2 linked regions of the Cricetulus griseus genome follow. The main gene of each other region encodes a partner of the protein of the gene in region 2 in a complex. Links are inferred from orthologs where the notes say so. Each region holds a gene or a part of one and is shown on either strand. Other genes may lie near its edges.

Evidence for each region.
Region 1: the proteins of Cd40 (region 2) and Cd40lg are in contact, whole or in part, in a crystal structure (PDB 3QD6), measured with the Homo sapiens proteins. The link is inferred for Cricetulus griseus from reciprocal best matches to the Homo sapiens genes CD40 and CD40LG. Residues at the interface, in NP_001241.1 of Homo sapiens: Glu64, Ser65, Glu66, His76, Cys77, Gln79, Tyr82, Asp84, Asn86, Leu87, Trp109, Cys119; in NP_000065.1 of Homo sapiens: Ile127, Glu129, Ala130, Lys143, Gly144, Tyr145, Tyr146, Cys178, Pro217, Cys218, Gln220, Ser245, Gln246, Ser248, His249, Gly250, Thr251, Gly252.

What each region holds. Positions count from the first base shown.
Region 1 is NC_048604.1:15,200,448-15,216,427, forward strand, and holds the end of Cd40lg (CD40 ligand), read right to left. Parts: intron 15,938-15,980; coding exon 15,806-15,937; intron 11,408-15,805; coding exon 11,353-11,407; intron 9,557-11,352; coding exon 9,494-9,556; intron 6,129-9,493; coding exon 5,752-6,128; downstream 1-5,751. UniProt on the Homo sapiens protein: Cytokine that acts as a ligand to CD40/TNFRSF5. Costimulates T-cell proliferation and cytokine production.
Region 2 is NC_048599.1:14,350,424-14,366,913, forward strand, and holds Cd40 (tumor necrosis factor receptor superfamily member 5), read right to left. Parts: upstream 14,531-16,490; coding exon 14,480-14,530; intron 8,976-14,479; coding exon 8,897-8,975; intron 8,598-8,896; coding exon 8,472-8,597; intron 8,215-8,471; coding exon 8,068-8,214; intron 7,751-8,067; coding exon 7,657-7,750; intron 5,073-7,656; coding exon 5,011-5,072; intron 3,037-5,010; coding exon 2,947-3,036; intron 2,860-2,946; coding exon 2,828-2,859; intron 1,962-2,827; coding exon 1,773-1,961; 3' UTR 1,590-1,772; downstream 1-1,589.

The sequences.
Region 1 (15,980 bases), on a different chromosome or scaffold from region 2:
GTGGATGCGATTTGAGACTATCTTCTGGTTTATCTCTTGGGCTTAATGCTCTATGTGGCCCATTTCCCCTTCTGCCCTTTGTACCTGTTTAAGCACTGCTTCTACATCAGCTGTCAACCCCTGTGAAGTCTTCAGTGAACTCCTTTTTGTTTGTTTCTTTGAGACAAGGTCTTGTGTATCCCAAGCTGGCCTCAAATGTACTATGTGGCTCAGGGTGACCTTGAACTTCTAATTCTCCTGCCTCTACCTCTGATTTCTTGGGTTACAGGCATGTGTTACCATGCCTGGTTTTATGGGCTACTGGGTATTGAACCCAGGGCCTGAAGCATGACATAAAAACATTTTATGAATGAGCCACATCTCCAGTCAAGCAGTGAACTGTCAAATTTAGGGAAATGCTTTTCAATACCCAACAGTGTCAATTTTTTTAATGATGGTATCTCAGTATGTTTCTCAAACTGGTTTCAGATAACTCAAGTGCAGCCTACAGCTGGTCTTGAAGTTGCTGCTTTTCTGTCTCAGGCACCCTAATGCTGGAGCTACAGATTCACAGATGTGCACTGCTGCACATGTCCCCTTATGCTTGCTCTCTCTCTCTCTCTCTCTCTCTCTCTCTCTCTCTCTCTCTCTCTCTCTCTCTCTCTGTCTGTCTCCTCCCCTTTCTTCCCTTTCCCTTCATCTCCTATCCCTCCCTCACAGAAGTCTGTCCTACTCCAATTATATTTTCTCCTTTTTGTATTTTTTCTTGCTTTCCCTTCACTCCACATTCAGTGCCTTCTTTGTACCACCTCAGGATTCTCAGTAGTCAGAGCTGCCAAGTAGGATCCTTGGCTGCAACGTTCCAACCACCTTAGGTTTCCCAGCCCTCCTACTTGCAGCGCTGAATGCAGAGCACTGTTCTGGGTTTCACAGTGTGCTTCGTTTGATGAACAGCCTGAGAGCAGATTCCACAAGGACTTTCTGTGTACCCTCTTGTTGAGTCATTATCAACCCTAGAAATACAATATTCTCACTGTCCCCACTTTCCTGATATAGACACAGTGACCCAAACGTTAAATGATTTGTCCACAGTTATCAAGTCGATAAATAGTGGAGCCTGGATTATAATTCTATTTGACTAGCTCCAGAGTTAACCGTAACACTGTAGCAAGAACAGATTAACAGTCATACTTAGTTCCAGGTGCCTTCCCACTTTAAAGTCCTGAGGGAGAGCAGCTCTCAGTATTGTGAATCTGGTCCTGTGGCGATAGTTGAATACACTGCAAAATATGTCCCATCTGGAAGCCCAAGAATGTTGTAGAATATTATTTTAACTTTGTAAAGATGTGTTACATTTGTTTATGCTGAAGAATATTACTTTAACTGTGCAAAGGTGTGTTACTTTTGTTTATGCTGCATCTGTTTAACAATGTAAGGATGTGTGTTTATTTATATAAAGATGTGTTGCATCTGTTTCACCCTGCCTAGGCATCTGATTGGTCAAATAAAGAGATGAACAGTCAGTAGCTGGGCAGAGAAAGGATAGGCAGGGTTGGTTGGCAGAGAGAGAATAGGAGAATTCTAAGTTCTAGAGGAGAGAAAGGAAGAACAAGAGAAGGAAGAGGAGGAAAGAAGGGGTGACACACCCAGGGCAAGAAGCTGGGCACCTGCTAACCAGGCAGACATCAAGAAGCAGGTAGAGTCACATACACAGCAATAAGAAAGGGAACAAGCCCCAAGGCAAAAGGTAGACAAAGAGAAACAGGTGAATTTTCAAAAGCTAGCCAGAAACGAGCCTAATCTAGGTCAAGCATTTATAACTAAGAATAAGTCTCTGTGTCATGATTTGGGAGCTGGTTGGTGGCCTAAAAGAAAAAGCCTGGTACACAGGAGTCTATAGCTGCTTCTCTGTAAGCGGGGTGCTCCTGTGCTGAAAGTGTTGCAGCACACATTTGCATTTTGTGGTTACTTGCTTCCTATCTGATAGCAAAGACAGCAATATTTTATCGTTTGTTTACTTAGAAAAAAATGAGTGAATGTTTCAATTATTCCTGCCTCACTGTTCCATGAAATGTAGAAGTAACATGTTTATAAAGCCAGCACTATGGGCTAGCAAGCACAAAGCCTTGGGTTTAACCCCTAGTACTGAACCAACCAGGCATGGTGTCATAGGCTTATAATCTCAACACCTGGGAGGTGGAGGCAGAAGGTTCTTGGTCAAGTCAGGTTTCTCGTTTGTTAAACAGGGTAGAGAAAGATGGCATTCCGTGGAATGAGCAACACTGAAAGAAGAGGCTACCATACAGGTAACAAGATCCGGAGTTCCATCTCTGTGCATCAGATATAAGGGCCTGAGCCCACTGTTGAGGCGCAGGAAAATTACTCAAGCTATTACCTGAGTAAAGTGTCTCACTCCTGCCATCCCAGGAGGATGGGAATTGGAGGCAGGAAGATCTTCAGAGATTTGATCCCAGCAAGGAATACATAATGAGGTCTAGGCCAGCCTGGGCTACAGAGGGAGGCCCCATCTCAAAAGCATAGCCAAAACAAACAAATAAAAATCCCAACACCCCTATCCCACCAGTATTCCACCAATAACATGTAGGTGGTTATTCAAAGCGTGAATCTAGCAGGGAGAGCCTGTGGCATTTAGGAGAAGGTGAAGGGCCGCACTTAGAGTCTTTCAAAAGAGCAAGGGTACCTTGAGGAGACCGGGTGAGAGGCTGAGCACCTTTGGCTACTTGGGGTGAAACTTTAGAGAACAAGTTCCCAGACTAGAGGAAGCAGCATCTAGAGGGCAGTAGAGACTAAAGGAAAAGAGGAGGCAGCCTAGAAAATGCAGTGGTTTTTACTTTTTCATTTTATTTAATTAGCTTTTTTTCTTTTCTTTTACACACCCACCACAGTTCCCCCCTTTGCTCTCCTGCTGTTCCCTCCTTCCCCCACAACTCCCATCTTCCCCCTCCCCATCCACTCCTTTTCTATCTTGAACAAAAAAAAAAATGCAGTGTTTTCTATCCATGATATCACTTCTGGTTACAAACATTTAACTAATTAATTGATTAAAAAGCCTCAGTGCACCGCCCAGGCTAGCCTGCTTCTCACTGTGTAAACCACGTTGGCCTTGAATTTGTTGCAATCCTTCTTCCTCTCCCCAAAGCCATGCTTATATCTCGCTTGTACACCATCATCCTGCTCTGCTTTTTTGAAAAAAATATCATTACTAGAAATAGAAATAGTTTGGAAGATAATGGCTCCCAAGGAACAAGAAGGTTGGCTAAAACACGGAGTAATATTTAAGTTCAGAGAACATGAGTTTATGAAGATTATTTTTAAAGATCTGCCTGGGTGTTCTGGTCTTGTTTGTACAGACATTTCTAGGAGATACTGTTTACAAAGTGGTCAGCCCTGAAACCATATGCACATAAACAACAAAAATGAACTCAGTGGGTTATAGTCATGTACTTGTGCATACTTGTAAATTTATATATATGCAACAGTAATAATCAAATAAAAAGAGACTGTCATCAATTTGAGAGAGGGGGACATGGCAGGAACTGGAGGGAGGGGACTTGGACAGGGCTGTAGGTAGGAAATGAAAGGGAGAAAGTGATGTAATTATATCTTAATTAAAATGTATAAAAAGTAAAAGAAAAATAAGCCTATCCAGGTGACAAACTCTACCTCAGACAAAATGCATAAGGAAGATTATTCCACAACATGGACATTCAGTTGCCTTAAGGAAGAGAGAATTATGTTGTGTGTTTTATTACTCTCTTTTGACTCAGCCAATGCCTTCCTTAAAGGAGGCTTAGGATTCTGGCCTTCGTAAGGGTGGCCCACAGTGTAACAACATCATGGCCACTGTCTATTAGGCTGCCATGGCTGCTGCCTCACGTTTGTCTGTTGATGCTTTTTTCCCTTTTGCAGTACTTTACATGGACTCTAGGGCCTCACACTTGCCAGAAAGGCCCTCTACAGGGAAGCCACCCTGACCCCGACCAGAAGTTCATATAGTAGAAGGGTCTTTGCTCCTGGAGGGCAGAAACACCCAGTGTGCATAACTTCTAGTGAGTTCCTAAAAGCCACAAACAGCACTCTTGTTCATACCAAAGGTCTCTTGTTGGTGGCGTGTGCAGACACACCAGTTTGTCTCTGCATGGTTTCAGCTTTACACTGGCTTGTCATGATGCAAGAGCTCCAGTCACGATGCAGCTGTGTCATCCGCACTATTGAAGAGCAAGGGCACGAGGAAAGACATTTTGCCCACCCGCTCTTCATTTTTACAGTAGTATTTTTTTTTATGAATGTGTTTCTGTTAAGCAAAACATTCCCCCGGTTAAACTGAGTTTCTTACATCCTCATTTATTACTCCACAGTTGGAGGTTGCAAGAGGTGACTCCACTGGCTTTAGTGGGAAGTCTGTAGGGCCAATAACCACCCTCACGACGCTCTGGCTCCGTTTCCTCTTGCTAAAAGTGGAACCACCTAAACAGTTGTTGAAAACATTTGCTACTGCTTCTCATGTAAGCTTCTCTCTCCAGTCTCTATTAGCTGTGATCAATTTTTAAAATGTCAATCTCTTGCAACCTTCACAGACCAAGTTAGAATTCGAGGCCCATAGTGCTTTCCACCAACTGGGCTCTGTGTCATCTATCAAAGGCTATGACACACTTGCAGAGGACATTCTGTCACTGAGATAGCTTTCTGTGTGTTCAGCTTGAGAACTAACTTTATGGTAACAGCAAAAAATGTTGGCAAAAGTCCCTCCAAATGCTTCCTTCCTCCTCCCCGACTTGGCGGAGAGCTATAAGTACTAAACAACAACAATAATGGTAAAGGCTCTTTATTATTCAAAAATAAATAATAACATAATCATTAAGTTCACTACAGGAACAATGGAGACTGCAGGGGGCTACACCAGATTCCTTTAAATATAGTCATTCCATGAGGAGGAATGGGCAGGCCAGGAGCTGCTGTCTATAGTGCCCTGACAGTGCTGTAGACCGGGACAGGGTAGATAATAAGAGAACCAGTTAGCAACAGCATGACTCTGTGTGTGTGTGTGTGTGTGTGTGTGTGTGTGTGTGTGTGTGTGTGTGTGTGTATGTGTATGTGTGTGTGTGTGTGTGTGTGTGTGTGTATAGAGAGAGAGAGAGAGAGAGAGAGAGAGAGAGAGAGAGAGAGAGAGAGAGAGAGAGAGAGAGGAGAGAGAGAGATTGGAGAGATTGGAAGACTGAGTTTTGGGTATTGGGGGGAAGGTGGAGTCAGAGTTTCTCAGTTCTCCTTGGGAGACTTTAGAAACTGGCCTACTGGGGCCACGAAGACCCCAAGTCAACCATAATAGATTGTGAGCTAAGGCTCACAGTTGCCCTTCTGCATGTTTCCTGGTAAGTCAAGTGCACTGTCCGCTGAAAGACACACTCATAAAGCAACACAACTTGGCTTGATCAGTTATCTACTGTTTCATCCGAGCTCTGTCATCTGTGCGTTATGGCTTTGTCTTTTCCTAGGGCTCTCTGGTTGGATGCATCAGCAGAGCTGCTGTTTCTGATGATAAGCTCTTAGGGAGCAGGGTCCGTTAGGATTTTGCCTGCCCTGGAAATTTCTTCTTTCAGCTCTAAGTGCCTTGGGATACATAATAAATAGTTCTCCATAAGGAGGGTCCAAGGGTTATAAATAGGCAGTTCAACAGGGGGCGGGTCCTAACGATTTGCTGTATGGGGAAGACTGCCAGCATCAGCCCTGCTGCAGCCTAGGACAGCACACAGCTCAGAGTTTGAGTAAGCCGAAAGATGTGAAGCCGATTCCGTGGATCACTTGGCTTGCATCAGTCACGTTGACAAACAAAGAAGAATCTTCTTGTAATTCAAATACTCCTCCCAAGTGAACAGATTGTTGGCCACAGGGCTTGGAGGAACTGTGGGTGTTTGCTGCCCTGAGTAAAATTCTCTCAGATCCACTGGTGGACTTCAGACAGAGGCTGACTAAAAACGGATCTTTACTCGAAGGTCCCTGATTAGAACAGAAGGTGACTTGGGTGTAGACATAATAGAGTCCTTGTCTTTTAATAGTCAGCTGTTTCCCACTTTCGAGCATTACCAAGTTGTTTTTCATGGTATAATATCCTTTCTTGGCCCACTGTAGAACTGTAACAAAGAGGGGGAAACCCTGGTGAGCATAAGCACAGCATGGCACATATTCTAACAGGAAATAAAGTTTAAGGCTGGATGTTGACTTCATGTGAGAATGAGTTCTCAAGGCACCATATGGACAACAGAAGCATGGGGAAATTATAGATACCAAGTTTACATGGGCTTCAGAGTTAGTGTAAGCTTGAAACCTGGGTTTTCTTTGAGCTTGGGCAAGTCACTTGATCTCCCCAAGCCTAAGTTCCTCAGCAACAGAATAGGGACAATATGAAAGCATAGTTTAGAGACATTGAAAAGTTAAATAAATTAGCAGGTAACAGGAAGCTTTCTCTCTTTAGAACCAATTTGCCCTTAAATTTAAGAAAAGTGCAAATGATCAGCCAGACATGGTGATATGCACCTAGAATTCCCAGACACTGAGGCGGGGAATCTTGAGTTTAAGGTCAATGTCATCTTTGGCCACATAATGACTTTGAGATCCGCCTAGGCTAAGTGAAACCCTGTCTCAAAACAGCAATACAAAAGGGACTGGAGAGGTGGTGTGTAAGAGCAGATCACAGAGACATGTTGGTATCGACCCTACGTGAGAAAACATGAGTCCCAGGTTCAAAGAAAGCCCCTGGTTCAGGAGAATAGGTCGGCAGTGATGAGACAAGAGTGCACTCTTCTGTTCTTTGTGTACTCCCACTACCATTCACTGAAGTATACATACACACAGACATACTTATGCAAACATGAATTCATGAACAAATGAATAAATGGTTTGAAAGTGAAGTGCTAATGTTTTCAGAATTATGCATTACAGAAAATTCTTGCTAATATGTGAATATTTAGCTTATCATGAGTTCTATAGTTGTCAGTCCACCTAGATTAGCGACAGCTCAGAGACAAGACCCTATGTCTTCCTTCTACCTTATGCTGTTGCAGGCCTGACCTGCCTCCCACGACCAAGCCTAAAATAGGCAAGGAAGTATGAAAATAAACCATGTGCTCATTTAACTGTGTTTTCATCTCTCCTTGTAGTGGGTGCCACCAACATGAAAGTACCCATATTCTTGTGGCTACAGCAGAGTCCCCACCAACAGTGTACCATTTTCTCTGCTGAGATGTTGAGTGGGTTCAAAGTCATGTGTGTACATGATTTAAAATCTCAGCTTCCACAGAGAGCTAGGTTTGATGGGGGCAATGGGTGGGAGGTGGGGAGAACTAAAAGTAGTGATATATTTGCTTTCTTGAGATTTTCCAAATAATTTATTTTGTGGCTTTACATCACCTACAGCATAAGATGCTTCTTATTCAGACTTTTTTTTGGGGGGGTAAGAAGGCATCTCACCACACCTGGTATTTCTGGGTACCTGACATTCTCCATAAAGGATGTTTGTTTTATGATGTTTTCACTTTTGGACGATTTGATTTAGAAAAAAAAAAGGAGCAGATTCTCTTCTGTTTAATGAATTGGGTCTTCCCTTGCATTTTTTCATTTCTAAGACAGGGCTTCACTACATATCCTTTGCTGGCCTGCAACTTGCTATGCAGACCAGGCTACCTGCCTCTGTCCCCTATAGCCCAGGTTGTCCTGGAATTTGCTTAGTAGGTTAGGATGATTTTAAACATCTAATCCTTTTTGCCCCACCCCTGAGCACTGAGATTACAGATATGTGCCATTAGGCCCCGATTTCCCCTTTTTAATTCCCTACTTCATTTAAGTTCTTTCTGGGGCATGTAGGTCAAGTTTATAGCATCATGTCCAGGAAAGAATGAGAAATTTGGAGCTACAGTGTCCTATACTATTTCCTATTTTGTCCTGTGCAGATAGATCTACTGTGATATAGACTGTGAGATATTTCACAGGCAGTGCCAATTCTAGTAGGCCTTTTGAAAAATTCAAAATTCCACTAAATATACCCAAGTCCCAAAAGATTTAGGTGGAACTTGATAAAGATCAGTAGGAAGTGATTCTAAGAGGTTTCTCTGTTATTATAATCTAATGCAAAAGTGAATATATCATGTGAATGGATTCCCTGGCTACAGCAATAATTGTGGTGCTTTTCTGTAAGCATATTTTTAGAGAATGCTATATGACAAAATTAATAAATATTATAGGAACAACTGGTCTCCATGAAGGACTTTATGTCACTTTCTGGATATTACAGTGAAGCAAGCTAAGTACTGGCACCTTACTCAGGTATAGCATAGCTTAATAATGTAACTCTTCTCCCACATTAGTTGATTTGATATCCAAAACTACTCTGGGAAGTATGTGAGAAAGAAAACTGCAACAGAATGAATGGGATTTGTCTAAAGACAATGAGTATGTGGTTATTGGCTCTAGAAACCCAGTGTTCATGAACTCCCTAACCAGGACTCTTACGTTTGTGCTGTGAGCCACAATATCATGTAGTATGTGCATCTGTGTTATACCCTGAGTAGCTCAAGTCACCTCAGAGACAAGATATTGTCTTCTTTGTTTTTCTGTGTTTCTCTCTCTCTCCCTCTCTGTCTCTCTCACACACACGCATACACAAACACATGACTTAGAAGTCCATTGTAGAGCACTCTGCTGAAGCTTTCAAATGCTGCTCTGATGCTCATGCCTTTGTATACATGGGGAGTTTATGCTAGCACACACGTTTCCATCCATCTACAGATGTGACACATTCTACAGCATCAGCTTTCACAAGGCAGAGATTTGGGGGAAAATATGGGCTAGGATGATGGTAGGATATATGTGGAAATAAAAGCATTCGGTGTTGAAAAGATCACGATATGCCATCTGTTGTTACTTCATTGAAAAATCTAACTTCTTGGCGCCTATTGATCATTACAAAATGATTTTTACCTTTAATTTCCCTGAGGTCAGCCCCACTGAGGCTGGGGTTAATCATACAGGGATTGACAGATGACAAAAAGACCTCCTGAGACCCATTTATGTACAGTGGGGAGGTCTTAGGAGGACAGATGTTCCCAGTGAGGAGGCCACTACCTGCCATTTCTTTTTATGCTTGTAAAATAATGGTTCCTTCACTCAGTCATTCATCATTTAGAATCAGCCACTGAGCAAAAACATAATGAGAACATCGGGACTCTTCCCCACCTCCTTTTGCCGCTCTAAGTCCCAGCTGTGCATTTGAGCTGACTTTGATAACAAAGGACAGTGTTTGAGAGTTATATGGGTAGGTTTGTAAATTGGTCCCTGGAGGAAGAGAAGAGCCTAATGATTAGGCTGCATAGCTTTGGAGTACCCCCTCCCCGTGCATGCAATACACACACACACACACACACCACACACACACACACACACACACACACACACACACACTCAAACACTTGGGTGGCTTTCACTCAGATGCTATGGGACTTACCAGATGCTGTTTTACTGTTGGCCTCACTCACAACATGTACTGCAATTTGAGGATCCTCATCACCTGAAGTGAAACCAAAAGCACACTGTCAGGCCAACGAAATGTACAACTGCACGTGGAATTAATGGGTACTGTTCTACAACTGTATATTAGCTAGAGCAGTTTACCTTAAAGGAAGGAAAACTGGTCTACTAATCCTTCCCACTGAAGGAAAAGGTAGTTTCTAATACATTAAAAAAACTTTATTGGCTATTTCCATTGATCCCTTTCTCTGATATTCAATACTCCATTCCACTTAACACGGAATGGACACAAGCCAAAACATTTGTCTTCAATAAATCTGTCTTGAATCTTACAAAAGCAAGAACAACTGCCATACACTGGAATGGTAGTGGACACCAAAGCTGTGGCTGGGCACTGAGCTAGTAACATGATTATCGTGTCTGATTTGCTCAAGTGACTATCCAGATTATCAAACTGAGCTTTCTTTCCCTTGCAAGAGCCTTGCTTCCCAATTAAAAGTGTTCATCTCCTAAGTATAGAATCCGTAGGAGCTTTCTTTCCAGTTATAATGATTTTGAGAACTTTGTAGGTATATTATGAAGGATGTTTTGATGACAAAACTATGCATTACCTGAAAGACCTACATCCACAGGGGCTTTTCCTTAAAAGCTCACTGCAATTAGCAGATAACATGGCATCACTGAACATGTCTCATAGTCACTGTGAGGATGAAAGCTTCAGGGGAATCAGATGAGCCTTGGGCATCAGACCCGTGGTTGAGACAGGTTCAGAGCACTCTCTTCACCTAAGGAAATCTAATTTCTGTCTTTATATGTATGCATTTCTTCTTGTACATTAGATTTCTGTAGCTGCAGCATTGTATTCAATAACTTTGCAGTATAATAGCTTCTGCAGCAGCACTCCTCCTTTTATACTAAAGTCACTCCACATATCATGGTTTGGGGGTGCTATATTCTCAAAGGACTGGGGAGAGTTGTGCTCAGAAGAGGAAATAGCTGGGAGAGGAAAGAGCCTTGAAAGGATCATAAAGGGAAGAGTGGAAGGTGCTGGGTATCTTTAGCCTAGATAGAAAAAATTCAATGGAAACTCGGGGTCGTGGTTGCTGTCTTCAGTAACCAGACAGCTTTCATATAAGGGAGTAATTATTCTATGTTTAGTATGGCCTTAAAGAACAGTAATGTGTCCAGTAAGGAGACATTCCAGGAATTTGAGGTAAGACTTTTTTGAATAGATGTTGACCTTAATATAATTAACAATTAGAGCTGTTCAAAAATAGTCCAAGTTGTCTTATTAAGTGTAAGGCATCCTATCTCTAGACAAGTCTGAGCAGAGGTCATTTGTTCAGTGATGCTTTTAAGGGGATTCATATTCTCAAGAGTGTACTGGGTCTGAGAGCCGTCAAGGCCCCTTTCTGACCCCTAGATGTCCAGGACACTCTCACGTCAAGAACAGGGCAAAGATTAGAATGTAGTATTGTGTCCATTGATCCCAGAGACCCACTGGGTACCATCCTCTCATAAAATAGTTATCATTGAATGATGAATGTCATTTTTTTAACCAAAAGATGACTTTCTTGTCATCTGGTCCTCTGAAGGTGGAGCCAGATTGTGTAATCGCTTGGATAAAGGTATTGGATGTGGGGTTCCTTCATATTTGATGTTACCAACATTACAGGAACATACCCTCATTGGTATGGACATAAAAAGCCTTTCTATCACTGAGGCCTGAGAGGGTACCTATTTGACAAATGTCTTTTCTTTCCAGGGCTAAATGTTCTCTGTTTCATGTGGTCTTACTCTTTAAGAACTTGTAGAAATAGCTAAATAGCAACATACCTTTTTGCATTTCATAGCTGTTTTCTTTTTTCTCTTCCGTGTTTAACTTTATATCCTAAAAGGAGAATCATTGCAAAAGATCAGTTGACAGAAGCTCTGATTTTGGGGTTTCAGGGTCTCATTCATTTGGCAACTATGTTGTCCGTGCCTGGTGAGGATTATAATATAGACTAAGATGCTGTCATTAATTCCATCATAGCAATTGGGAGTTCCTGGCTCTGACAGATGAGCTGACAGCCCAGAAAACTCAGGGGAGATCCTAGAAGCAAAATCCAGGCCTTATTATCTCCATTACAGTGCTCTCCCAAGACCAGAGGTTGTGATTCTGACCCTTTCTATGACCCTGACCTCAATGCCTGTGACAGATATTGATGAATAATGCTGAATGGGGCAATAATTCAACACTGGGAGCTGGCGTGTGGAATATTATCAAACACAATGTGGGGTGTGGGCCTGTTCAGATAAGGTTGCTTTGAAACCTCATAGGAAAATATTTGAATATGATCATGGGAGAGAAATCCAGACTTTCTCTTTGAATGTGCTTTTGTGGATAGCTATCCCGTGTGGCCTGTACTTATGTAGATTAATCAACATTCAGCAAATATAGGCCATCTTCTAATGCTGGTGATGGTGTTCAAAACACATAGTTTCTTGTTTCTCTTTTAAGATTTTATTTTATTTATTTCTTTAGAAAATTCTATGCAAATTGTTCTGTGTTTTTAGGACAGGTTCTTAGGTAGCCTAGGCTAACCTTGGACTTGTTATGAAGCTGGGAGTGACCTTGAATTCCTGATCCTCTTGCCTCTACCTCCCAAATGCTGAGTACAGACATGTACCATAATGACTAGCTAGATGCAACACTTAAAGATTTCTTTTACTTATAAGGTGAAAGAATACTAGACTGACTTAAGGAAGCTAACCCAGACTTCCTTCTATGTAGATTGAGAGATGATAACACCTATCGCCGCCATTTTAAGGAGAATGAAAATGAATGAAAGGCCTAGCAAGTATGAGGTTATCCAAAGGGTCTGAGGATTAAATGAAGTTCAGAACATAGGATCATATCCACAGGCCTGCCTCAGTCTGTTTCATCACTCTACTCTGAACAAGAGAGGAAAGAAAATAGTAGTGCACCCACATCTGAGAGTCCTGTACTCCTTGACATTCCTGGAACCTCATATCTTCACATTCATCACCCCAAGAAGGCATTTGTGTTGTAACTCTCAACTACTTTAGCTGTACACTCAGCTTGGTTGCCAGATGTGAGGACCTAAGGCACGGAGTCCCAAAGTGGAATCTGAGCCTCAAAACGTTCACATGGGCTCCACAGATGTTCACATGGGCTCCACAGACCAACTTTCCATTTGAGCTGCAATGGGGCTCTATGACAATGCGGCCACAGGAAAATGTTTGTGTGCTAACAAGTAAACAAATGACTGGTGTCTTTTCAAACACTACTGTGTGATGATTGAAGTTAAGATACTACTTTTAGGCTAGGTGGTTGCAGTGGTGTTGGGACCTGGCCCAGATGAAAAACGTGAAGTCAGCAGAGTTTGTCTTTTATGCACCCAGTCTTGCCTTTTCGTGAACTTTCCCCCAGCCACACTCCCCAGAGCCTTTTTTTTGTACTTCACTTAAAATGAAAGGCCTTATTAAAATCAAATTTCAGAAAAATCTTGGATTAATGATTTCTGTTTCAATGGATATAGCACCCTTTAACCTGAAATGGGAATGATTTTATGTCATCAAAGGCACCTCAGACACTGATAGACAGATAACCATGAGACTGACCATTCTAGACAGAGTGAGGTAGATTTTAATGTGTAATTACACTGTTCAAAATGGTGCCTCTACTTGCCCTAACTTGAGCTCTGACTCCCATCTCCTTCCCACAATGAGAGCTCTGTGGCACTTGTCACTGAAGATAATGAGCTCTTTGTCATGAGAGGTATTTAAATGAAAATTGGGTGACCACTTCGAAGTGGTAGAGAGAAGACTGAAATTCTAAGAACTGAGAATTGCATCTGGTCCTGTGACTTCAAGGTTACTCTTGGCCAGCCAGATCATAGTCTAAAGCCCGCTAGTATTAGCAGAGAAAACACAAATCTAATCTGGATTTAGTCTATAGTTGACTTGCTGGGCTAAGAAGTTCCAAATACTGTTTCTGAGCGAGACCTCTAGGGAAATGGTGATCTAAAAGGGGACCAGTCGATAGAAGAAAATTAACTGGATAACTTTGCATCTCAGCTTTTTAAAATCCTAGGTAAAGATGACATTGCCTGGAGCTCCATAGCTGCTGCAAAAGGAGCAAGGGGTATCCCTGACAGGTATCTAGTACATTACTAGGGCCTTGGCTGATATACCTAAAAAGTTCTACTTTTTTTTTCTTTCATACAAACAGAACCGACTCTTTGTCCTTGCTCCTATCTTGGGCAGATGAATCTGGAAGCTTTGCACATCAGACCTGAATAAGGAGAAAGGGAATTGGCAGATGACCTGTGAATCCTCTCTGTGAGAAGGAAAAATGGAAAACCCAACAAGCTGCTTTTACTACCATTCAAGGAAATTGAAGACTGATCACATAGTAGGAGAATGTCAGGGCTGGTAGTGTCCTTATAGAGAGTCTCATCCCCCCTTATGCTATACAAGAGAAACTGGAACTCAGATGAAATCGGTTATCTAAGGCTATTCAGCAAAACATAGTCATGTTATTTGGATTATCAAACATCGTCTTTAACACAACTTTATACATGTTAAAATTAGAAACACCTCCCAGTACCCTATATTACACCTAGAACTTTATAAGCACTGAAGAAACCTAAGACATTTCCTGACTTCACCAATCTTGCAAATAAAGTGTTAGAGGTTTTATCTAAGTCCTAGATTCTGGAATATGGATATTAATTCAAGATACACTATAACCCTGCTTAACAAAAATTAACTTGAAAAGCAATCAGGCATTGCAGAGAATGGAAACAATAAATTCCAGGTTAAACTGGACATAGTGGTACCTGCCTGTGGTTAGAAGCAGGAGGATCAGGAGTGCAAGTTTTCAGCTACATAGCAAGTTCAAGACCAGCCAAGACTATACAAGATTATCTCAAAAAAATCTAAATAAATAAATTCTAGTTTAATATAAGGAACTCAAAAGCCAGTGACAGATTTGAACTGTATTCTGATCCCAGTAAGTGGCCTAGGAATAAGGTTTTAAAATCTTCTTCACTGGATTACACCGCACCTTGGTGACAGTGCAGGAGGATGTGTATTGAGTTCATAAATGAGCTCTCAAGAGGACCGTGAGATGGCTCAGCGGGTAAAGGCAGCAGATGCCAAGCCTGAGGATCGGAGTGGGAGCCACAGGACCCACATAGTGCAAGGAGAGAATCAAGTCTCACAAAGTTGTCCTCTGACTTCCATTTGTGTCACAAACTAACAAATGAAATAGGATCTTATTATACTCTTTACTCCATTATTCAAAAGGTATTAGAATCAGTGTTCAGAAGGGAAATGGGCAGCCAGAGTTTTCGATGTTCTGTTTCAGGGAAATACAGTGCCTTGAGCTCCTGTCGGTGATGCAGTAATAAGTGGGAAAATTCTGGAAATTCATGGTTTACATATTCAGTTATTAGTAAGCTGGATGACAGCTGGATGGTTTGAAAAGGCTCGAATCTTTAGCATGGAATGGCTCTGTGAGCGAGTAGTGTTACATGGGCTCTACTGTGAACCGCACTGAGAGGGGGCATCCACCTCTTTCTATGCAAGAAAAGGGAAGAGCCTGCTATCACAGTACCTGAAATCCCTCTCATCACTGGATAAGCACTTCAGGGATTTCTAGTACTATCAGGACAGGCAGTATCTTCCCTTATGGGCTACCAAGATGGCACCAGCCAACCGTTGCTAATTTCCCTAAGAAATGGAGCTCAGACCCTGGTTTTACAATGGTAAGATATCAAAGGTTGAATGGAGAAATACAGAAATATAGAACTCCAACTGTATGTACTATGTAACTACTGTGTGCCAGTCACGTGTATGTACTGATAAGCATGTGTCGCTATGCATAAGGGTCCCTATCTTCTCCAGAGAAACCTATTTCTATTTCAGTAATGTGCACATGTCCACCTTTCCTCTCCATTTCATCCTAAAACTTGCTCTGCGTTTGTGCTTCTTGTATGCACACATTTCCACACCCACCTATATACGTGTGTATGTATGTATGTGCACGTGTGTGTTTATATACACCACATTTGGGTAATGGCTCACTCTGTAGAACAAAAATGGCCTGGAATTTGTTGCAGTCTGCCATTCTGCTTTGGCTTTACAGTGCTGAGGTTGAAGGTGTGACCACCACCCTTGCTTACAGTCGGAAACATTTCGAGGGTCGGAATTCAGTTTGCACAGCTAGGAAATGTACTCAGACTTCTCAGTGAAGTCTGCCAGGAACTGAGTCACTTACCTTGACAGGGTCTTCATATTGCCTTTTCAGGTCCTTACAGTTGATCAAGGGTAAGGTTCCTTCTTCTTTGATGCATCGCTGAAGCTTTTTTATGAATATAAAATCCTCACGAAGGCTTGCTTCCTCTTCTACCTGGTTTGAAATAACAGGCTTATGAGAAATGTCACAGTGAAGA
Region 2 (16,490 bases):
GGAACCAAGAATAGGAGTTCATGGGCCACTGCACACCACTGTGTCACCATTGGCAAGTCATTCCCCCTCTCCATACCCATTCCTTCCACCTGTAAAATGGGGGGGGGACACAGACCTTGCCTGTCCTAGAAGGCTACTTCTGTGAACCCGAGGCCTCGTAAACTTACCACTGAATGTGAGCACACCGGCAAAATTCCCTGGAGGCCCAGAAGTCTGGGGACACTCTTACTTGAGCTCAGAAAATACCTAATTCTTCTATTCTAATAGCAAATTAAATATCTCATCACCTGGCATGTCTACCCTTAGTCTCCTTTGTACATGTTTGATGATTTTTTAATTATGTAAGCATTATATGAATCTACTGTCCCCTTGGAAAGATAATGAAGCATTATGGGAAACCCAACACACACACACACACACACACACACACACACACACACACACAACCTACCTCCAGACCTCATCACTCTTTAAAAAAAAAAAAAAAAACAGTTCATTTATGTGTACACGTGTTTTACCTGTGTGGTATGTACATGTATCATATATGTTCAGTGCTTATAGATGTCAGAAGAGGGCATCAGATCCCCTGAAATTGGATGGCTGTGAGCTACTATGTGGGCGCTGGGAACCAAACCAAGACCCTCTACAGGAGCCGGTGCTCTTAACCACTCGGCCACCTCTTGAGACACACTCCTGCCGTCTGGATTTTCAGTGCTTAGTAACACATGTAACATGTCCTATTCACAGCATCATAGCTTTCCTTCCATATCTACATAGACTGTGTTCAAGCACAGTGTGCAGCCTGCTTAAATACGGTTTAAGGAAGGGTATGTGACAGCTTCAGGTGCTTTGTTTTGGATGTTGGGAGAAGCTGTTGTTCTTTAGTGGTTTTTTGTTTTGTTTTTCATTTTTTTTAAGACAGGGTTTCTGTGTAGCCCTGGCTGTCCTGGAACTCACTCTGTAGACCAGGATGGCCTCGAAACTCAGAGATCTACCAGTCTCTGAGTCCCTAATGCTAGGATTAAAGGCATGTGTCACCACCACCCAGTTAATGTTTGTTTTTGAGACGGTATCATGTAGGTCAGGCTAGCCTTCAATTCACTATGTATTCCAGGCTGGCCTGGAACTCCTGGTTCTCCTGCCTCTTCCTCCTGAGTGCTAGTATTACAGGCATGAACCACCATTCCCATCTTGGGGTATGCACATACACACTCATGCATGCATGAACATGGACCACAGAGTGCCTGTGGAGGTCAAATGTCAATCCTCTGGATTTGGTTGTCTCCTTTTACCATGTAGTCCCAGGGATAAAAATCAGGTGGCTAGCAATTTACCCACAAAAGCTATCTTACTTGCCTGGGTATGTGTTTTTAAAGGTTGTTTCTCTACCCACCATTCCACTACCTGTTTTTGTTTGTTTCAGTTGATAGTATTTCTGAGATCCTGTTGTATAAATACATTACAGATTTATTTAGCCAGTCCCCTGCTGATGGGCAATCAGGTGTCTTCTAACAGTACAAGCCACAAAGCCATAGACTGTGGTGTCCATGACTCCTGATAGTGAAAGCCACCAGGATACATCTCTGGGTCCTGTATTGCTGCACTCTCTGGATCCCTGATGCCCAAGCTTTTCCTCCATCTTTAAAAGCAAGACAAGGGATGGCAGCTGGGCAGGCGCGGCAGTTTTTGTTCCTTTCGAATCTCAAATGTCAGCCGCCATCCGAGCCAGGCCCTTGCCCTCGTGCCATCACCACTGCAACAGTTCCAAGATCTCAGACCAGGTGCTTCAAGTCCATGCTGTCCATCAGTTGTCTCTCCTGCACTGCTATGCGGCTCTCCTTGCCGTCCTCCTGTGCCACAGGCTGACTCCCAACCAATGTCTCCTGCACTGGAGCAGTGTTGTGGCCAAGACAATCTTCTGTCTCCGTAGGATCTCCCGTTTCAACAGCAGGGAGTGAGGCCTGGAGAGCCAGGGTGTGAGAGCCAAGGTCACCTCTAGGCATAGAGCCACCCTGTCCCTGAGGAGTAGAATCCTTCCTCCAAGTCCCTTCCCCTTGGGGGGGGGGTGATAATCAAAGCTGATTTCTCAGATACCTCCTGCCCCCTGCTGGACACATGAAATTTGGCAGGAAACTTCCAGAGTCAGAGTCAGCCAGCAGAAGAAGCTGCCCCTCTGGTTCCACCTTCTGGCCTCTAAAGGCTGGACTTCCCTATGTTCCAAGCCAAAGGAAAGCATGGGCAGGGTTGTTCTGCCAATGGTGCCTGGCTCCTCCCAGTGGGGAAGTGATTAGTTAGAGGACGGAATGAAGACCGTGATTCAGGGCAGGGTAGGGGTAAGAGTAGCCGACTGTCACCTTACTGGCCCCAGGGACAGACACTGAGCCTGTTCCCTTCCACCCACCCACCCATCCATCTCTCTCTGTCTCTCTGTCTCTGTCTCTGTCTCTCTCTCCCTCTGTGTGTGTGTGTGCTCGAGCACGCTCACGAGCACATGTGTGTACATATACATAAGGAGTGTGGTGTTGGACGTATGTACATGCACCCATGGAGACCAGAGGTCGATGTCACTCTCAACCTTATTTGCTAAGTCAGGGTTTCTTTCAGAACCTGGAGTACCTTGTGTCAGCTAGACTGGCTGGCTAGCAAGCTCTGCATGTCCACGTCCCCTGCCAGCCCTGACGTTACAGGCTTTTTTTCGTGGGTATTGGGTCTAAATTCAGGTTCCTGGGCTTGTGTAGCAAGCACTTTGCCCACTGAGTAGTCATCTGTCTCCCTGTGCCACGCATGAGTCTCCCAACCTGCCCACCAGTCACTCTTTCCAGCTTACCTTATTATCCTCTGGTTCCTTGACCACCTTTTCTAGAGAGAAAAAGAAGGGGTGAGGCTTTGGGAGGGCTGGTTCTGCATCCCTGAGTCCTCCCCCTCTTCCCTCACAGGGGCACTCACTGATACAGAAAGACACCGCTATGAAGATGGTGATGAGGACGGCCATCACAATGGGAATGACCAGCAGGGCTCGCGTCCGGGACTGCACACCTGCAGAGACAGACTTGAGTGGAGCCACTGGCAGATGCTCCCACTCCTTGTCCAAAGCAACTGCGTCTTCCAGCATCTGGACCTCCTGAGGCTGTCAGAGCTTTCAAGCAGCAGCATTGTGGGTAATGTTGCATCAGGGGATCTTTTTAAATGCTTCTGTGGTATTTGCCAATGGTTATGAACTGAGAGATGGCGTATTTGTGGGGGGACAGCGGATGTGGGTGTGGCATATGTGCAGGTGTGTGCATTCAGAGGCTGTCCTGCTCTGTCACGTCACCTTCTACTGAGCCAGGGTCTCTCACTGAGCCTGGAGCTAGTCTGTCAGCCAACAAGCTACAGCAGTTCTCCTTCTTGTTGCATTGGGGTCACAGTCACCCCAATGCCTAGTTCATGCTTGCACAATAAACACTCTTACCATCTCTCTAGCCCTGGGAGATTTCAGTTGGGAGGATCACACACACACACCCCAGTCAGCCAACTTCCCACCTGGCTTTCACCAGCTTTGTGGTGAAGGGAAAGCCTGCCTGCCTGTTTCTCACACCCCCTGCTCTCTTCCCTAGCTGCGGCTGTTCAGCTCTTGTGTCTACATTGTTAACATCTGCTATGGAAGTGTGGAGCAGAGAAATAAAGTATCTCTTGTGTCTACATTGCTATTCCAAGTGACAAAAAAAGACCAAAAGGCAGGAGGCATCAGAAGCAAGGGGTGTAACCACTTCCCCATAACAAGGAGACAAAAAAATTGAATCCTCTTTGAGACAGGGTCTCACTAATCGGCTCAGGCTGACCTTGAACTTGGGGTTCTCAAGCATCAGCCCCCTGAGTACTGGGACTGTAGACCTGTACCACCACACCCACCTGATAGATAGGGATGCAAACACCAACAGCACAAACACTGGCCCATAGGCGGCTACACGGCTTTTAAATAAACTTGTATTGGAACCAGAGTCAAAATCAGGATGATGTAAGCAGGATCCACACATCTGGCAAGGCCAGCTCCTACTCGATTTTAAAATTTGCTCTTTTGTTTATCGCAGGTTTTTGTTGTTTTTTTTTCTAGCATAATATCAAAATGTTTTTTCTCTTGCTTGCTGTCCTTTTACAATAGTTTATTGCATGTCACAGATGACCTGTGCTTCTGTCACCCATTCCAGTCACATCTTCCCAAGAGAACAAAGTCAATCTCGAGAAAAAGCCAAGAGATTGTATCTTTATTTTCCTTTCCCTTTTTGGCATTGGGGATCTAACCTAGGACCTCACACATGCTAGACTTGTGTGGGGGTCTAATCCAGGACCTCACATACACTAGTGTGTGGGTCTAACCCAGGACTTCACACCTGCTAGATTAGTGTGTGGGTCTAACCCAGGACCTCACACATGCCAGACAAGTGTGGGAACCTGGGTCATCAGGCTTGCACAAGAGCTTAGCTTAATGAGCCGTCTCAGTAGCCCTCTTTTTACTTTCTATGTTGAGACAATGTGTTCCCAAACTTCCCAGGCTAGGCTTGAACTTGCAAAATTCTTGCCTCAGATTCCTAAGTAGCTGTGCTGACAGGCCCACTCCCCAGACCCAGCTCTCTTACCCCTCTCTTTACTCATTCAGTGACAACCTAGTCCCTGAATCTGAGGTCGTGATCCAAGCCTCTTGTCAAGCTTCTCATCCTAGCATCCAAACCAAGGCTAACAGGTGACAGTGTCACAGTGCACCCACACCTCAATTGAGGGGCAACAGAACTGTGCTCACAGTTTCAAAATAGTAAAATTCCAAGACATGCTCTCATGTAAGGGAGTACAAGTAAGGGAGGTGCTGCTGCCAACCCATTTCACAGTTGAAGAAACTGAGGCTCACACAGCAGATGTGACTCATCCAGCTCCCAAGATACAAGCTGAAGTACTATTCCCCAAACTGCCTCTTGCCTATGCGTCTCTGTGTCCTCTTTAAAACACTAGGCAGGACCCGTTCTCCCCTGGACTCACCACAGACAGCGTCAGTCCGATTCGTCCCTTCCTGCTGTACCACCATGTTTTTGGCCTCGCAGCTGCACAAAGACACATGTGAACACATGTATGTGCATGCACACACACATGTAGAGAGGGAGAGAGAGAACAGGGTTCCCCAACCATAAGACTTCCAAGCCCAGGGGAGCCAGGCAGCAAGTGGCAAGTCCAGGTTCACTGAGCATGTGGCTTACAGTGCAGCATTCTGAGCTGGTCATTATGGGAAGGGCGGGAACATGCACACAAGTGAAAGGAAAAATTACTGCTTATATTGAAGGAGGGATAGCCAGGAGTGTGGATGATACCGGCCGGGCTTGATGATAAGGGCTAAAACAGAGAGGGCATTGTTCAAAGGCAGGAGCCTCACGGCTGGAATGAGAGGGGATGAGTTTGGTTCTCAGTGGAGCATCTTGGCACCCACAGGTATTTTGAGCTGGGAAACATCCTAAGTCCCAGAATATTTCACAGCGCCTCTGTCTCCACCAGCTAAATGCCAGGAACAGCACTCTAACCAATTACGGCATCTGAAAGATGACCAGATGTGCCCAAGGTCCCATAGAGAGCAAAACTGGTCCCTGTTAAGGGTCTCTGGTTAAGGGTCTTTGGGGGAGACTTCTCCATGGAGACATCGAAGGATGTGAAAGAGGGAGCCAGCCAGGTGGGACCAGTGTGACAGGAGAGTCAAGGAGGCACCTGTGATGATGGAGTGTCCTTGGCACCCAGCCTCATGACCTAACTAGAAAGAGGAACTGCTCCCAGGTCACTCATGCAGGAGACGTTGCAGAAGAGTGGACAGTCGGCTGAGGCCTCCAGAGGGGAGGGGCATTCCAGATAGGAAGCAGAGGGTCCCTGAGACAAATTAGGGGATCCACAAAGGAAGATCAGAAGGGCCCCAAAAGGTACAAAAGTTGAAACAGCAGCACACACCAGCTAAGTGGTGCAGTGTGGCGGGCGCACATTTGACTCCGGTACAGGAACCTCCATGATCAGCTAATACCCACCAGTGGACACTGATGAGTGCCTCAGGTGGCACCATTCCAAACACAGAGTAGAGACTCATGGGAGGGGGGAGGCTTGAACTCTCCATTCAAGCAATTGTTAGCCTTTGGGGAGGGGAAAGAGAGCCCTTATACAAGGTAGGTCACAACTTGTATAAGGTGTGTGTGTGTCTGTGTCTGTCTGTGTGTGTGTGTGTGTGTGTGTGTGTGTGTTTGTTTCTTCTTTACTAGAAGAATCTCTGGAAAGGAGCACTGGGAAAACAGCCTGAGGGGAGGGGCTTGTTCATTTAAAACAATAAATGTAAAGAGTTAATGGGGCATGTACTTAAGGGTTCTCCCAGGCAGGAGACTTTGAAGCAAAAGAATAAACAGTGTGCTCAGGGGTACAAATGCAGGGTACAAGATATGGGGGGAGAGTTAGAGGATCGTGCCGGACCCCAGCCCCACCCCAGAGCCAGGACTTCTTCCCAGAGGCAGCAGAGAGCCATGGAGTGCTGTAAGCCACAAAGTACTGTGATCCAAAAAGGGCTATGGAAGGTCACAATGGCAATACAATGCAGAACCAGCCAAGAGGTAAAGAGCCTGTGAAGAGACGAAGCCATCACCACACTACAGTGATGAGGCCCACGAGACCACACTAGAGAGTAAAGAGGTGGATTCCCAAGACGCTCATAGCAGACTATAGACCTGACTGAGGTAGAGGTGAAGGCAAAGGTGTGCGGCTCTATGTGACTGCCTCAAACCAGAACCTGCCTTTCCCTTGGGGCTTGGCTGGGTGCCCATTCTGGCTATACAGAGACTGAGGTGTTGGGGAAGCTCTACATTCAGCAGCAAGACTTGACCATCTGGGGCCCAAACCACAGATCCAGGGGGAAATGGAACCACGGATGTAGATAAGACAGCCCAGGAGAGGGGGAAAAGTAACTGTGGAGAAGAGGACTCAAACAAAGCACCAGAAAGTCAACTAAGAGTCAAGAAGGGCTGGGGGATAGATAACCCAGTCAGGAAACTACTTGCCCTGTAAGCATGAGTTTAATCCCTAGGACCCACATTAGAAAAAAGAAATCCAGGCTTGGGGACATATGGTTGTAATCCCAGTGCTGCAGAGGATGCAGAGGGTCCCTGGAACCCTGACCAGGCAGCCTAGTCTACTTAGCAAGTTCCGGGCCAGTGAGAGACTGCCTCAAACAAAAGAAAAAGGTGGATAGTACCTGAAGAACAATGCCCCAAGTTGCTATCTCACACACACACACACACACACACACACACACACACACACACACACACACGTGCACACATGCATATGCATACACAAGAGTGTGTACACATACACGTATGTACAAGTGTGCGCATACACCTACACGCCCAGAAAGCGGAAGAACTGACAAGGAACATTCATCGAGAGAAAGGGGTGCTGTGGTGCCTCAAGATGAGAGACTTCAGGAAGGGAGGGAGACCCAGATTCTATTAACTAAGCAAGAGCAGGCAAGAAAAAAGTGCAGAAAGTGTCCCTTAGGCCAGCCATGAGGGCACATTCACAAGCGAGTGAGTCACTGAACAGCAGGTGACTGGAGAAACTGCCACAAGACCCACACTACTTTTGGTTAAGGAGAGGCAACCCTTCTACCTGGTCCAAGGATGACATTGTTCAAAAGCTGATGACCCACTGGAGAAGAAGCCGGCTGGGCAGGGTTCACACACCGTATCGGCAGTCCGTGTGGCTGGGAGCATGTGGGGAGGATGCATCAAGAGTCTCTGTGAGTCACGGTGTCACAGCCTGAGCCTGCCTTCAGCTCCTTGCCCCGGCGCAGTGGTGGCCCTGAAGACTGCAACCCAACAGGAGTCCCCTTCCCCTTCCCCAGGAAGTTGCCCATAGCCAAGGCCAGAATGCAAAAGATCCCACTTCCTGTTACCCAGAGGGAAGATGCCAGTCCAAGTGGGAGTCGCTATCCCCTCAGCTTCTGGGGGCCAAAGCCAACTGCTCAACCCCAGCTCTTTTCTTCCACCCATAGAGCTGTTTCCCAGGGAGGCCACTTACCCATCTGCTTAACTCCAAAGCCAGGGCCACAGGATGTGTGTTGAGCACATCTCTGGCACTCCTCACTAGTGCAGTGTTGCCCTTCCTTACAGGCACAGATGGTGTCTGTATCTGCAGTACCCTGCTTCTCAACCTCAAGCCCTTCCTCTGATCAGAGATGAGAAGGAAGAATGAGAAACCCCCCTGGGCCACACTAAGAGTCCTACTTCTCATATCCTCTCCTGTTTTCTTACATGCTCCTCCTGGTACAGAGGATGATCAACTAACTAACTTATTCAACAGCCCAAACTCAACCCAGACTCCCACCCACAAGGACAGACCCTAGCTACTGAAATCGGAGGGATGTCATGATTTGGAATATCAACCCAGTTCTCAAGTGCACCTCCCCAAGCAGCCCCACGCACTGGATTCACAGTGTGTATGCTGGTAACACCGGAGCTCTTTGTTCCACTTGTTCATGAATTCGCCGGAGTCACACAGAAGGCACTGGGTCTTGATGGCATCCGTGCAGTGGCTCTCTAGTCTCCTTCCTGTAAAATACCAGAAGGAAATAAGGCAGTTTCAATCCTGTGAAACAGATCCTGTCACTACCCAGTGAGCCAGGGCCTGGGGCAGTGGAGCTTGGGTCCACCTCAGACCCTATATAAGTGGGGAAGATGGAAGAAGACACAGGGCAGGCAGCCAGGGGCATTCTGGCATCAAGGAGGGGGAGGGGGGATGAGCCATTTTTAGCCTTGAGTTCACAGTTCATACATAGGGTCTGTATCTGCCAGCAAACCATGAGGGAAGGAAGGGTCTTGGTATGGGGCTGGAGAGGCTAACATCTCACCTGGCTGGCACAAGTCGCAGCACCGGCCATTGAAGAGGTACTGTTTGTCATCGCATGTAATGCATTGTCCTAAATGGACCTAAAAACAGAAGTGTGTAACTGGAAGGGATCTCTGACAGGCATGTTGAAAGTTAGCCAAAACACAGACTGTAGCAGATGTGGAAATCCAAAGCAGAAAGAAAGCCCCCACAGTATGAGGTATACTTGATTTTAACTCTACTGCCAAGTGGTGTGGTTATAAAAGGCATCCAGAGAGTCATTCTGCCATCTTATAAAGCAAGAACTCAGAACTCTCTCACCCAAATAGATCCTCTTGACTCCTCAGTGCACCCGAAGACCCAGCAGGAAGGGAGAACTCAAGAACTTCCTGTAGAGCCGGCTGCTGGCTCCAGCTGGCCTCAGCCCTTCTCCTGAGTGCCACCATGCTTTCTGTCCCCAGCTCCACATCAACTGATGCCAGAAGGATAGGAGTCATTCTATGGAGGGCAACACTGAGGCTGAGTGAGACACCGGGCAGGTACCCTCAGAGCTCAGAAGAGCGAATCAAAGCGAATCAGAAAAGCTAGAGCTACAGATGGTTGTGAGCTGCCCAGCATGGCTGCTGGGAACCTAATCCCCAGTCCTCTGCAAGGGCCACACATGCTCTTAACTGCTGAGTCATCCTCCAGCCTGTATTGTGATCCTTAAAGTCAGGCTACATTTTTTTAGTGTTCCACAGGGACAGAATCAAAGTTCTCAACATGTCCTCTCTCCATCGACCACGTTTCACTCCCGCCATTTCCACCATAGCATAGATGCCACCCATGCTATGAACTTGCTAACTTAAACACACTTCTCTTTACTGTAAGTCTGTTATTGCCTTGAGAGAACAGCCAGTATCACTTCCCATAAATTAAAAAGAAACCCTAAAAATACACGCAACTGACTCTTAACAAGGTTAGTAAACCTCAGCTAGTCGCTGTACTTGCTGAGTGCCTCCTCCCTGGGCCTGTCTTGATTTTAGTTTTAAAAGTCTTTGAAAGGTATTAGCTAGCCAGGTGTGCCTTTGCAGGCCTTCAATCCCAGCATTTGGAAGGTAGAGGCAGGCAGAGTTCAATGCCAGTCAGCCTAGTCTATAAAGTGAATTCCAGGACAGCCAGGGCTACACAGAGAAACCCTGTCTCAAAAACAAACAAAAAAGACAAGGAGGGAAGGAGGAAGGACATTAACTATGGTCTAACTCCAGAGACTTGCTCCTTGAAAACTAAGGACAGTCAAGGCACCCACAGCCAAGCCTGATGATCCAAGTTCATTCCCTGAGAACCACAGGGTAGGAAAGACCGGCTGCCATAAACTGCCTTCTGACCTCCACACATACCCTGTGGTACTCATACATGCATGCATACATACATACATACATACATACATACATACATACATACATACATACATACGTGTAATAAAAAATGAATTTTGTTTAAAGTGAGAAAGTTTTCTTTAAGAACTATAAAGTGAGTCTGTGCTTTGGTGTGTGCGCACATGCATTGCCCTGTTTGGGACTTGGAGCATGCACTTGCCACAGTTCAGGTGTGTGGAGGTCAGGGCACAGCATCTGTGGCAGTCCTCACCTGCCACCTGTTTAAAGTGGGTCTTGTCGCTGTTCTCAGCTGCATATGGCCAGCTGGCTGGCCTGAAAACTTCGGGGACTCTCCTGTTTCACTGTAGGAGCTTTAGGGTTGCAGACTTCTACCACACACTACCTTACATGTTTCCAGGGATGAACTCAGGACCTCAGGCTTGTGCTTCAACCACTGAGCTATTTCCTCAGTACTGTACTTGAGGATTTATGTGAGGGTTTTTGTTTTTTTTTTAAGACTTTTAAGTTTTAGACCAGTGGTGGTGGCACACACCTTTAATCCCAGCACTCGGGAGGCAGAGGCAGGCGGATCTCTATGAGTTTGAGGCCAGCCTGGTCTACAGAGTGAGTTCCAGGACAGCCAGGGCTACACTGAGAAACCCTGCCTCGAAAAACAACAACAACAACAACAACAAAAAGAATTTAAACATTTTTTAGGTTTATTTACTTTATTTTATGTGTACGAGTGTTTTGCCTGCACCAGTGCCCTTGGAGGTCAAAAGAGGACACGGGATTCCCTGGAACTGGTGCCAAAGCTGGTTGTGAGCCACCATGTGGGTGCTAAGAAACTGTACCTGTGTCCTCTGCAAGAGCAACAAGCGAAGTGTTCCAAGGATCTGTCTAGCCATAAAATGTATTTTGTTATTGATTATGGGTAGATATGTGTCTATATGTGGATATGTGGGGTGGGGGGGACAGGTCCTTTAGAGTTCAGAAGATCGAATCAGAAACTCCTTGGAGCCAGAGTTGCAGGGGCTGTGAGCTGCCCATTGTGGGTGCTGGAAACCCAACCCCAGTCCTCTGCAAAGGCCACACAAACTCTTAACTGCTGAGCCATCCCTCCAGCCTGTATTATGTTCCTTAAAGTTGGGTTACATTCTAGAAATACCCATGGCTAGGGCTGTGGGGAGACCTTGTTTGAGAATGAGACAAATCGCTCTGTAACACAAACTAGTTATCTTGCTTTTCTGAGGCTGAATTTCCACACCATTAAAGATCTGTTTTTATTGTTTTGTGTGCCAGCCCAGTGTGGGTACTAAGAACTGAACCTGGCAGCATGTGCCCTCTCCCACTAAGCCATCTCTCTAGCCCCGTTTCCTCACCTTTAAAATGGAATTATAACACCTGCCCCAGAGGTCGGGTTGAGAATGTGAGAGAACACAGGTGCACGGGCTGGCAGTCTACCATGGTGAGTGCTCACCAAATGGCAGCTGTATTCGGCTCACACATATGAGTGTCTGCTTGGGTGCCCTGCACCCTGGCAACTGACTGTCTGTCCAGGATTCAGCTAATGGATTGCTCTAATTCAACCTGGGTATCTGAGCAAATCACTTAATGAAATGCATCTGAAAGCTCCTCCCACAACAGCATGTCCCCAGGCATCGACTTTCCCACTCTACTTCTAGAGCAATAAAAGCCCTGACAGCATCGCTGAGCAACTGAAACAAGACACCTCTCCTCTGATGACTCTCCACCCCAGTTTTCATTCCCCAAAGTTCTCCACAAAGTTCTCAGGGCCACAGCTTGGGGACCCCTTGCCACGTGACAGATACTGATTCATATCCATCTTGAGAGACTTTGGGCAAACCCTTTCCCCTTTCTGAGCCTCATTTTGGTCATCTGAAACAGAGGAGTCGGGAGAAATCAAATGGAGGCTATATGCAATCTCTCTCCCAGCCCCATGTACAGAAAGACCTTGATAAACAGCACTTGCTATTTCCATCAGGGCCCAGCCGCTACCTGGAGCCCAGATTGGAGCTCACAAGGGCAGACTTTGCCCTCAGGTAGTCCAGACCACCCTCCATCACACCTCTGTTTCTCCCTCCATTCTACCCACAAGGCTCTCATCCACTTCTCTCCCACTCTACCCTCCTCCTGCATCCTGTCTCCCTAAGAGACATTGCTCAGAGCAGTGGTTCTCAACCTTCCTGACGCTGTGGCCCTTTAATGCAGTCCAGTTCCTTGTGCTGTGGTGACCCCAACCATAAAATTATTTTCGTTGCTATTTCATAACTGTAATTTTGCAACTGTTATGAATGGTAATGTAAAAATATCTGTGAAAGGGTTGTTTGATTCCCTGCCCCCAAAGAGTTGAGACCTACAGGTTGAGAACCACTTGCTTAGAGTGAAAATGAAAGCTTGGAAAGCAGCTTCTTCACTTAGTCTCCTCTCCTGTTGCTGACCCCCACAGTTATCCCTGCCCAGGCCACAGGTCAGAATCTCCAGCCCTCAGCTGGAGTTGGTACAATGGCTGCACTGCAATCACGAAGCCCTAGGTTCCGTTCTTAGTGCCACATAAAACCGGTCATGGTGGTGCTGGAGAGATGGCTCAGAGGTTAAGAGCACTGACTGCTCTTCCAGAGGTCCTGAGTTCAATTCCCAGCAACCACATGGTGGCTCACAACCATCAATTATGAGATTTGGTGCCCTCTTCTGGTGTGCAGATATACATGGAAGCAGAATGTTGTATACATAATAAATAAATAAATAAATAAAATTGTTTAAAAAAAAAAAAAAAGGTCATGGTGATGCATGCCCGTAGACCCAGCACTACAGAGAAATTCAAGGACAGGAGAGAGGGCTCAGCTATTAATGTGCTTACCACATAAACATGTGGACCAGAGTTCAGGTCCAGAAACACATGCAAATGCCAGGTATTTGCAGTGGCCTTCCTGTAATTCCAGACTTACAAAGCAAACGGGGGATCCCCAAAGCAAGCTGGCTAGTGAGACTGGCCATATGGGGAGCTCTGAGTTTGATTGAGACCCTGCCTCAATGAGTAAGGTGGAGAGTGTCCGAGAATGACTCATAGCAGCTTCAGGCAACCACATACAAGAACACACATGTATCAACACAAATGTATACACACATACAAACAGTACACACTCAAAAAAATGGGGGGGGTAGAAACTGAAAGTCATCCTCAACTATATAGCGAGTTTGAGGTCAACCTCTGACACCTGAGATTCTCTCTCAACTCAGCTGGTTGATAGCATATGCTTAGGGCACTGAATGTCCCTGTCATGTTGTCCCTTTGAAGCCAGGCCTGTAACATGACACCTGCCCAAGTGACACCTGGACAAGTCGGAGGGAGTTGGCTGAAACACCTAAATCCTTGTCTCCAAACCAAAAAGATTCTACAGCGCTTGAAAACACGGGGAGCCCAGCCAGAGGGGCGGGGATGAGACTCAGGTAGTCAGGGGATTCCCAGCCTCCAGAATGAGGAACTGCAGAAATACATTTAAACCAAAAGTCAATCAAGTGATAGCTTCTGGAAATCCCGGAGATACGCTTGGTTGGGTCTGAGCCATTCTGGTGCCTGGAGAAACCATGGCTGGTCTCTTCACCCTTTCGTGGGTTCCATGGCTATTCCTCTCTTTGGGTACCTCTTCCGCCATCTTAGGTGCAAGAGGAAGAGGCATCAACCTGGGATTCCTCCTAGATTGGCTTGGCTATGTCAGGTGTGGCGGGTTTAGATCACCTCTTACCAAGAAAGTACCCAGGGTCTTGTTCCCACAAGATGCCCTGGAAAAAGTGGCCCAACTAGCAGGGAGAACATAACCACTGATGACAGGCGTCTATCCACAATGGGAAAGTGACAGGAAACCGGCCAGACCCGCCCCTTCCCCTAGCCAGGCTACCTTCCTGTGCACTCGGAACCCACTTTCCAGTCTCCGCAGCCAGCTCCTGAGCCCAGGCTTGGATTAGATAAAGTTGTCCCGGCACCTCTGTGTAGGTATGCCCTCCCTAAGCTCCCCCTGTGCACTACACGGAATGGAACCCCAACCTTCTGGGAGGGGAGAGGAGCAACCCACCTTATTTTATAGTCAAGACCAGAGAGATCTTGCCCGCCCTACTCAGCCCTTCCCGCCTTCCCCCCAAATCAGCTAGGAAGGTCCCAGAAGTCTTGTCTCCTCTTTCCATCTCCCACTCTCCAATCCCTTGGGATCGGGACAGAAGCCACTCACCGCTGTCAACAAGCAGCCCCAGAGCACGCACTGCCGAGGCAAAGTCACCATTGTGGGGTCGTCGGAGCGGTCAGACGGACAGGGCTCAGAGTGCTGCCTCTAGTAACTCCGAAGTCCCTGCCAAGGGCCCCGCCCAGGAAGGGGGCGGGGTCTTCTGGCACCAATCGCAGAGGGTCTCTGGCTAGTTGCTGAGCAGGGATTTCCCCGGACCTTCCCAAGAGTCTGATTCCCCCGGGAGTTTAAGGGGCAGGCACCTAGGCTGGAGGAGGCATAGTCCCAGGGGAGCCCTTTTTCTACCTCCCCGGACCCCAAGAGCCACCTATAGCAGGGCTAAGGACTCTCCTGCTTGCAAAGAGCAGAGGGGAAAAGGATTCCTGTAGGGACTGGCGGGGGGTAGGGGGTAGGCGCCACAGGATACCCACGTTTCCCCTATTAGCTCCGGGAATCTTCGCAGAACCGAAAGCGTCCCCAATGGGGACAGAGAGGTCGAAGGAAGTCCCCAGCATCACCGCAAACTCAGAAAGCGGGAAAGACCACAGTTGGAAAGCCAGGAAGTGATTTAAGAAAATGAGTTCCCTCCTCAGTTTCTCTTTCTTGAGAAGGAAATTCCCACGTGTAGGGGCAGAATCCCATTGTCCCATCCATGCTTGCCATCCACGTGTCTCCACCAGCGGTTTCTACCCCATCCCAGCTCCACCCCGGAGACAGGTATTTACCGGGTGGACCAGCCTTTCGAAGGATCACAGGACCCACTGAGAAATGTTAGAAGGCTGGAGGCCCTCCCTCTTCCTCTATTTACTTTGGTGGGGTGTGGTCCGGAGCAAAGATCCGAACTGTGGTCCTCAAGCTTGCTTGACAGGCACTTTACCCTTGGTGTCCAGCACCACCCACTGCTCACCATATCCTCTCCTCCTCCACTCCCTCCTCTCCTCATGGGATATATGAGGGTCAGAGGACCACTTAAAGGAGTTAGTTGTCTACTTCCACCATGTGAGACCCATATCGCAAACTTAGGTTGTCAGGCTTCATAAGTAGGGCTTTTACCCCACACCCCCCACTACCACCACCATTTTTGAAGCAGGGTTAGCCTTCCGCTCTGCAGCTGAGGTGGCCTGAGTTCTGGTCCAAGCATTGGGCCTGATGCACTGAATTCACTTGAGCTGAAATTCCCTGCCCGGGAGCTTGAACTAGATGGTACTTGGGATGTTGATCCTCCCCACTCTGGATATCCAGGCGGTGCTGAGAGGCCAGGCTGCAAAGAAAAAGGAGGACGGGATGGGGAAGCATAGGTGGTACATTAATCCCAGCCTTGGGGCCTGTCTTACTTGCTGTTCTATTGCTGTGAAGAGACCATAACCAAGGCCACTCTTACAAAAGAAAGTGTTTAATTGGGGCCTTGCTTAGAGTTTTAGAGGGTTAGTCCATGATCATCTGCTTCCCATGGTGGGAAGCAGACAGGCTTGGCATTGGAACAGTAGCTGAGAGCTCTACATCCTGATCCATAGGCAGCAGGTTATGGCGAGGGGGTGGTCTGGGCCTGGCTTGGGCTTTTGAAACCTCAAAGCCCACTCCTAGTGACACACCCCCTCCAATAAGGCCACACCTCTTAATCTTCCAAAACAGTTCCATTAACACGAACCAAGCATTCAAACATAGGAGCTTATGTGTGTCATTCTCGAGTAAACCACCTTTGCTTTAAAGACACAGTAATAGCTTCATTTATCTTCATTCCAGGGAAGAAGTTGCCTTTGTTAGGAGCACAGGCCAGGTGAGTGGCTAAAGAGCATGCCTGGAGGCCACATTCTACTGCATTGTCTGTCTTCTCCCTCTGGAATCCATCCTGTTCTGTTGTGGTCCCCCCTCTTGCCCCCGCCACTGTCCTAACACAGGATCTCAGTGAGTATATGAATGATTTGTCACTTCTCACCCAGGAACAGCCCCCATGACAAAGAAGATGGCAAAGGGGACACAACTCTAGAGGTCTCACTACTGATCTCCAACCATAGCAGCC